Mus musculus: one gene and its partner. The protein of the gene in region 1 purifies or fractionates together with the protein of each later gene. This does not show direct contact. Links are inferred from orthologs where the notes say so. Each region holds a gene or a part of one and is shown on either strand. Other genes may lie near its edges.

Evidence for each region.
Region 2: the proteins of Kmt5c (region 1) and Cbx3 purify together in Homo sapiens (affinity purification with western blotting; 3 studies listed by BioGRID and IntAct, with this or other methods). This does not show direct contact. The link is inferred for Mus musculus from reciprocal best matches to the Homo sapiens genes KMT5C and CBX3.

What each region holds. Positions count from the first base shown.
Region 1 is NC_000073.6:4,745,333-4,748,086, forward strand, and holds the end of Kmt5c (histone-lysine N-methyltransferase KMT5C), read left to right. Parts: intron 1-469; coding exon 470-606; intron 607-744; coding exon 745-929; intron 930-1,044; coding exon 1,045-1,559; 3' UTR 1,560-2,182; downstream 2,183-2,754. UniProt on the Homo sapiens protein: Histone methyltransferase that specifically methylates monomethylated 'Lys-20' (H4K20me1) and dimethylated 'Lys-20' (H4K20me2) of histone H4 to produce respectively dimethylated 'Lys-20' (H4K20me2) and trimethylated 'Lys-20' (H4K20me3) and thus regulates transcription and maintenance of genome integrity.
Region 2 is NC_000072.6:51,468,932-51,473,501, forward strand, and holds the start of Cbx3 (chromobox protein homolog 3), read left to right. Parts: upstream 1-1,684; 5' UTR 1,685-1,808; intron 1,809-2,320; exon of another isoform or gene 2,321-2,579; intron 2,580-2,884; 5' UTR 2,885-2,913; coding exon 2,914-2,937; intron 2,938-4,570. Other genes in the region: Hnrnpa2b1 (heterogeneous nuclear ribonucleoproteins A2/B1), read right to left, coding at 740-745.

The DNA of each region.
Region 1 (2,754 bases):
TCGGAAAAAAAAAAAAAAAAAAGAATGAGGAGTCTATAGGGTAGCCTCGGGATGAGTGATCCTAAATGCTGGGCTGGAGGACAGGGGAATCTGGCTGCCAAGTGGACACAAGCCTTGGGAGAATGGGAAATAGCCACAGAGGCAGAAAGGCAAAGAGCAGTGGCTCTTGAAGGACTCTGCTGGGGACACAGCTTGGCACTTGTCCACAAGTCAGAGGAAGAAGGCAAGGAGTGCCAGTGCATCCCGCCTGGAGGTCAGGTTAGCTCACTGGCTGACAGGGAGGGGTAGACACAGAAGGCAAGCTCTTAAGGGGCTCTGTGGAGAGCAGGCTGCAGCCAGAGTAGCTAACAATAAATGGTGGGGTAACTCATTACAGAACCCTTGGACCTGGGTGCCTGGCCAGGTTGTGGAGCTGGACAGCTCCTGCCCTGCGCTCCAGGCTAGGGTGCTGAAGGGGGCATGGCCTCAGTTTGTGCCCTCAGATGGGAATACTGCCTGTGTGAAGGTGCTACGGGACATTGAGCCAGGGGATGAAGTGACTTGCTTCTATGGTGAGGGCTTCTTCGGCGAGAAGAATGAGCACTGTGAATGCTATACCTGTGAGAGGTAGGCACGGACCTTGTGGGCAGGGTGTGGCAGCCTGCCCTGGGACGTCAAGGGTTGCTGGGCTGCAGTGCATCCTCAGGATTCACTCTAAAGTGTGTCTGGCCCAGCACATGCCTTTGCCCTTTTCTGTTCCTGCAGGAAAGGCGAGGGAGCTTTCAGACTTCAGCCCAGGGAGCCTGAGCTGCGACCAAAGCCCCTAGACAAGTATGAGCTCCGAGAGACAAAGAGGCGTCTGCAGCAGGGCTTGGTCAGCAGCCAGCAGAGCCTGATGAGCCGGTGGGCCTGCTCCCACCTGTCCCCACTGCGCCCTGACCCATTCTGTGGTGAGCGTGCCTGTTCTCTAGCCTTTGGGTCACTTTTTCTGACCTGTCCAGAGGAAGAGCTGCACAGGTCCTGTTGACAGGCTTTCACTTTTTCTGTCTCCTCCGACCTCTACAGCTGCCTGCCAGCCCTCATGCCTGCTGCCTGCCAGCCCCCACATGGATTACTTGCCCCTTTGGCTCCAGCGGGCGCCTCAACCCCAGCCCATAGTACCTCCCAGGAAGCGCCACCGCCGCCGCCGCCCCAGGATCCGCCAGGCTTCATTGCCTCCTGTCCTCCGCACTGCCTGTGTCCCCCTGCACCGATGGGGAGGCTGTGGTCCCCACTGCCAGCTACGTGCTGAGGCCATGGTGACCCTACACCTGCGCCCCCAGACTCGCTGGACCCCACAACAGGACTGGTACTGGGCCCGGCGCTATGGGCTACCTTCTGTGGGGCGTGTGGAACTTACCCGCCTAGCCCCAGCCCTGCCAGCTGCTCCTGCCCCTGCTGGGAACCCAGGTCCTGTCCCCACTCCTGATTTCATCCCTAAGCAGGCCCTTGCCTTTGCTCCGTTCTGCCCACCTAAGCGCCTCCGGCTAGTGGTCAGTCATGGTTCTATTGATCTGGACATCAATAGTGGTGAGCCATGATGGGCTGCTTACAGGGAGCGGAATGGAGTGCAGAGTCTATCTTGGAGCCCTCCAGAAGGGAAGGAGAGCTGACCCAGGTCTGATCCTGGTAGTGTGTTGTTTGGGACATCCCTAGAGAGCTGATCCTTGTTCTATGATTGCTGACCCCTGAGCCAGCCCCAACCCAGCAGGGAGCCCTGGCCATTTGCTGTACCCATCCCTGCCCCCACCTCAGGACTATAGGAGTCAACCTCCTCCCTCAGCCTCTCCCTCCCAGGGAGCAAAGCCATAAGGGAGGGGGGCACTCCATGGCGACTCTCTAGAAGGCCAGGCCTCAGGGGGTGGAATTGACTTGGGGGTTTGCCTTCCCCTGAGCTGCTCCCACAGTGGGGAGTGAGTTGGCTCTCAGCTCTACAGTTGATGGAGGTAGGGGCGGTCAGATGAGGTGGGTGGTACCCAGGGGCACATCCTTGGCTCTGCCCCACGGGTCTCAGGGAGGCCAGGTGTGACCTCATCTTTTTCACGGTGCTATCCCTGGTGCTACTGGGGTGTCGGGGAGGCTTCCTCTCCTTCCCACATCGGAATGGGGGATGATGGGGGATTGGAAGAACTTGAACTTTTTATTAAAATATTGTAAGTCCTTAGGAGGTTTTTTTTTTTTTTTTGAATGTTTTTATGGGATGTCAGTTGGAGGGTGAGATCTCAGCTTGACTGGGAAGATGAGGTGGTATGCCTGCGAGACTGACAACTATCCTGATATGCCTTAAGAAGGGAGAGGGCAGTGGATTCTGGGGACTGCTGGACTAAGATAAAGCCCTGTAACTGCACAAACGGTGCTTATAGGACATGACCAAATGCATTCTCTGCTCTGGGGAACTGAGGAGATAACCAAGAACTGATGACCGGGTGCAAAGTAACTTGCCTGAGGCCATACAGGGACTTGTCACTTCTCAACCAGATCTAGAGCAGGGCCTGGTGTGGTGGCACCCCTTTAATCCCAATACTTAAAGAGGCAGAAGCAGATAGATCTGTGTGAGTTCAAGGCTAGCCTGATCTACACAGGGAGTTCCAGGCCAGCCAAGGCTACACAGTGGGTGGACTTATTCAGGAGCAGTTTGAGAGGAGGGGATATAAATGGGGCCAAGCAGTTTAGCCCTGCTGAAGGGTGGAGGGAACCTCTTGTAACCCAGTTGTCCTCAACCTCCCTACTGTGTGA
Region 2 (4,570 bases), on another chromosome or scaffold:
TTGTACTACGTTCTCTCTGCCTGTTCCAGTAAAGCTCGTGGAGCGCCGCCACCCCGCCCCCACCCCGCGCCTCGGTGGCTTCAGAAAGCAATGGCGCCATTTCGTCGAGGGGAAGGCAGAGAGCCTTTAGCGAGGTGCGCAGGACGCTGAAGACCCAAGCTCAAAACGCTAAATCCACCTCGAAACGGTATGAAGACTTCCAAAAGAAAGGAAAATCGCTAAACACGTCTACGCAGTGGTGAAAAAAGAAAACCAAACTAGTAAACCTAAAGCGTTGAAAGCAAAATCGTGGCGAGGAAGGAGACGGGAAAATGGCGGCCGCCAAATCCGGTTCCCGGGAGAGGGGGGAGGGGAAGCTTCGCAGACTCGCTCCGGGAAGCCGGGGGGGCCCCAGAAACGTTCCGCCGCGAACACAACCGAGCCCCTAGGCCCGCGCACATCGAAAGGCCAGCGATGGCCCGCTCACGCGCTACTTTAGCGGTCCAGCCCGGTCGCGGCGGGCACTTCCCATCCCCCACCCCAACTGAGGGAAATGGCGCCGGGCGGCTGAGGGCGGGGAAGGCGGTCGGACAATCAGAGGCCTCCTCCAACGACCCCTCAGAAACTCGCCAAGGCCAACCGCCACTCGAGTGGCCGCATCCCCTCCGCCGGACCACGGAGGCGGGTGGCCGGTTTCCATTGCGGTGCCTACGGCCTCGCCATGCCATTTTTAATAACTCATTGATTTCAAACCCGTTACCTCCATCGCGGACTCAGTCGCTTCAGCCCGATTTCCCGCAGCCGAGCGAGATGAGAAAGACCTCCGCGGACGGACGCGCACGGGACTCGTCCTGGCGCTGTGGGGAGAGCAGGCGATGGCCAAGAAACTGGGCCGCAAAGGAGCTCCTGCACACGGGACCGGCGCCGCTGCTACTGCCGCTGGAGCCGAGACCGCCGCTTTTCTAGAACCTTCCCCCCACTAACGCGTCTCCGCTTACGTCACGCCGTTACGTAAACGCCCTAACCGCCGCCAATGGCGGGAAGGGCCTACACTCTCCTTACGCCAAGTACGTGACACTCCCCCTTTAGGTACAGCGGGACTGCTTTACATCACTTGCGCAACTGTGTTCCGTGAATTGCGGAAGGCTCGCGCTCGGCGTGTTACTACGTCCGGAACTAGGTCCGGCCCCCACCTCCGCGTAGGGAGCGGAGAAACGGTCGCGCAGTTTGAAATAACGCCGTCGGGAGGGGCTTAGGCCGGCGCTGGGGCGTGCGGCCCTCTCCACCCAAGCGTGCTCTCTGCAGCTACGCCTTTGCCAAGCCCGTCCGCACAAATATTCTCGAACCACACAAATATTTCTACACGTCCCAAAGGGGTTCTCACTCGGTCCCTCCCAGAAGGACTTTTAGTCCAAGTACCACCCCGGATGCCACAAGCCTTGGGATCCCGCGCCTAGTGAGAGGTGGTGCTTAAAGAACCCCGCTGTTTATCTCCCCGGCCTTCAAGATCCGGGCAAGGAGGTGGGTGGAGCCCCGCTTTGGCGCGCTCCGAGACGCAGAGAGGCCTCCGCGGTCCTTCCTGCCCGCCTTCCCCCCCCTCCCCCCAGCCAGGAGACCCCCTGGGCGCCACGCCGCGGACGGTGAGCATTGCGCGCGCCGCCCCCCGCAGGACGCGTTCCCGGCGGGCCCCGCGCGGCCAGGGCGTGGGCGGTGCTCCCCCTCCCCCCCGGCGGAGCTGCCCGCGCCCCCTCCCCTCGGATGTGGCTGAACCGAAGCGCGCAGGCGGGAGACTCTGCAGGATCCGCGGCCCTGAGCATCGGAGCGGTGAAGTTCGTGCCTTTGCTTTTTTTCGATCTTGCGTGTGGTGGGGTTTAGGATGCTCCGTGCGTCCGAGCTTGCGGGGAGGCTGCGAGCCCCGTGGGCCGCGGGCTGCGGGAAACCGGCTGGGGCCTCGCTGAGGCGGGCGCCGCGCCGGTGCGTGGGGGAGATGGGACAATTGTGCATGAGGGTGGGAGCCGGATGACAGCTACCGAGACTCCAGACAAAGCGCGGGCCTCCCCTCCCCCAGCCTCGTCGCAGGCCCGCAGGGAGAGAGCGGTTCAGGCTCTGCAGCTGCGAGGCCCGAGGCTCCGGGCTGCGGCGCGCTCCCGGCTACGTGGCCGCCGCCGGATGGGGGAGGCGCGGGCCCGTGGCGCAGTGCCCTTGAGCCCCCGCCGCCGCCTTTGTTTCTCCCCGCGGAGGCGCTGACCACGAGGCCCGCGCTCTCGGGTGGGGGACGGGCTCCCGACCGGGGAATGGAGCTGGGAAGGAGCCCTCCTCGGAGGGGAGCGTGAAGGAGGTCGACTCCTTCTATCCTTATCAGGACAGTACTTGGGAGCTTGAGGCTGGGGATTGCCAGGCGTTGAAGCCCAGACTGGACTATAGAGAGTGATTACCGCACCACCACCCCCGGAAAAAAAAAGCCAGAAAATAGGACTGGGACATCTTAATGTGTTCCTTTTTTTATACCGTGATTGAACAGGGAGGGCCTCTGAAAAAATAAGGATGGAATTATATGAGCTCCTTGGAGTATTCAGAAATCTAAAGAAAAAGATCTTATGGTAATTTGCTAACAAAAGATAGTCATTTCCTTTCATCCAAAATAAACACTAAAATTGTTAAAATTCTATATGGATTGGGAAAGTAACAATCCTCACCATGTAAAGTTGTCTGAGGTACCAGTGTTTTAGTAAGATTATTTTCACTAACATACTGAAATTATTAGTAACATACTAATAACACGGGAACTCAACTGTTTTCCTGCATTTTTACCCGAAATTTACATGTTGAAATCCACACAAAACTTGTAGCTGCCTTTTGTGTGTCATGAAATTTTAACTGTCCTACATTTTTTTTCTTGCAATAGCTCTTCAAGTCTCCGATTAAATTTAAAAAATGGCCTCCAATAAAACTACATTGGTAAGTTTGTGAAAACCTAGAACATAAGAATCTTAACTGAAGGATTTTTTTTTTTCTTTAAAATTACAATTAAGAAACCATGTGGTGGTGGATCTCTGAGTTCGAGACCAGCCTGGTCTGCAGTGTGAATTCCAGAATAGTCAGAGCTACACAGAAAAACCCTCTCTGGGCGTGTGGGTGGGGGAGCTAGAACCTGTGGTGGACATGGTTGTGCCTTCCTTTAATCCCATCATAAGTGGGTGAATTGCTGTTAGAAGCCAGCCTACCTAAGTCCTTGTATTTACCAGCATTCTAAAGAAAAAGGAATTAACACTAAGTAAGGCTTTTCTTAAGGAGGATCACAATACATTTTTTTGAAAAAGCGTTGTACAGTTTTTGCTGGATGCTTTTGAGGTAAAAAATGCATGTTTGTGGGTTATAAAACAGCTCAATCTTCAGAGCCCAAGGAAAAGTGGAAAGAAAAAACAAGTTTCTACCAGAGTGTGCCTTGATTTCCACACAGGAGCTCCATCATATTGTTAATGAGCTGAATGGGGGAAGAGTCGTGGACAGCTCTATAAAAGTCTTGTGGGTTGGCATGATTACCCTGGAAGCTGTGCTGTTCTGGAGACACTGAGCATTCATTAGTGCACAGAGAGTGAGTTAGATAGAGCTCACGTTGCCATGAGCAAGAATTACAAACTGTCTAGGAGTGATCTAAGACTGTTAGATCAATTCTGTTTCTTTTCAGCGATTTCTGACTGTTGCTAAATCCAGTGTTAGTTTTCTTGGGATTTCTAGTAAGTTAGACAAATTTATTTTTGTCAAGTTATATTTAAAATAAATAAAACTGGGTCAGCCAGGCAGTGGTAGCCCACAACTTTAATCCCAGTACTCCAAGACAGAGGCTGGTAGATAGATCTACACAGCGAGTCCACGGACACCCAGGGCTACACAGAGAAACCAAAAACGGAGGGAGGAAAAAAAAATGGGTCTGAAGGTGTATGTTTGTGATCCAGCCTGTGAGAAGCTGAAGCAAGCAGATTGCCTTGAGTTTGAGGCTAGCCTGGATTCCAAAATTCTGGGTAGTCGGGGCTGCATCCAAGACCCTGTCTAGAAAAAGATTCATGTCAAAAGAGTGAAATTTACAGTTGTGGTTTCTACATTAATTAGGACACATTGATCTCAATCATATGGAGGTGTGCATTAACAAAACATGGGTTTTTATCCTTGAATTTCTGACCAAAATGAGCAAGAGGGTATTTCTATCTCATATAGTGCATGACTTCAACTGGTCTGCAAAGTGGACTAGATTCTGTGATCAGAAGCCCTGATGGTCACTCTTAGATGACCCAATACAGTGATAAGCATGAATCATCTGGTAAACTGTGGAGATGCTGTGAGTGTGGGTATGGCCCTGGATGCTGATGGACTGAGTATCCTGGTTCTGAGGTGCTGCTGGTGATTTTTTTTTTCCTGCGTGATCCTTCACTTGGTGATGGTTAGAGGGACTAGGCATTTGATAGGGGGTTATTTTTGTGATTCCTTTAAAAAATTTTTAAGTAGCATCTGTAGTTACACATGGTGGTGCATACCTATAATTCCAGCACTGGGAGAAGCTGAATCAGGAAAAATCACTGCAAGTTAAAGACTA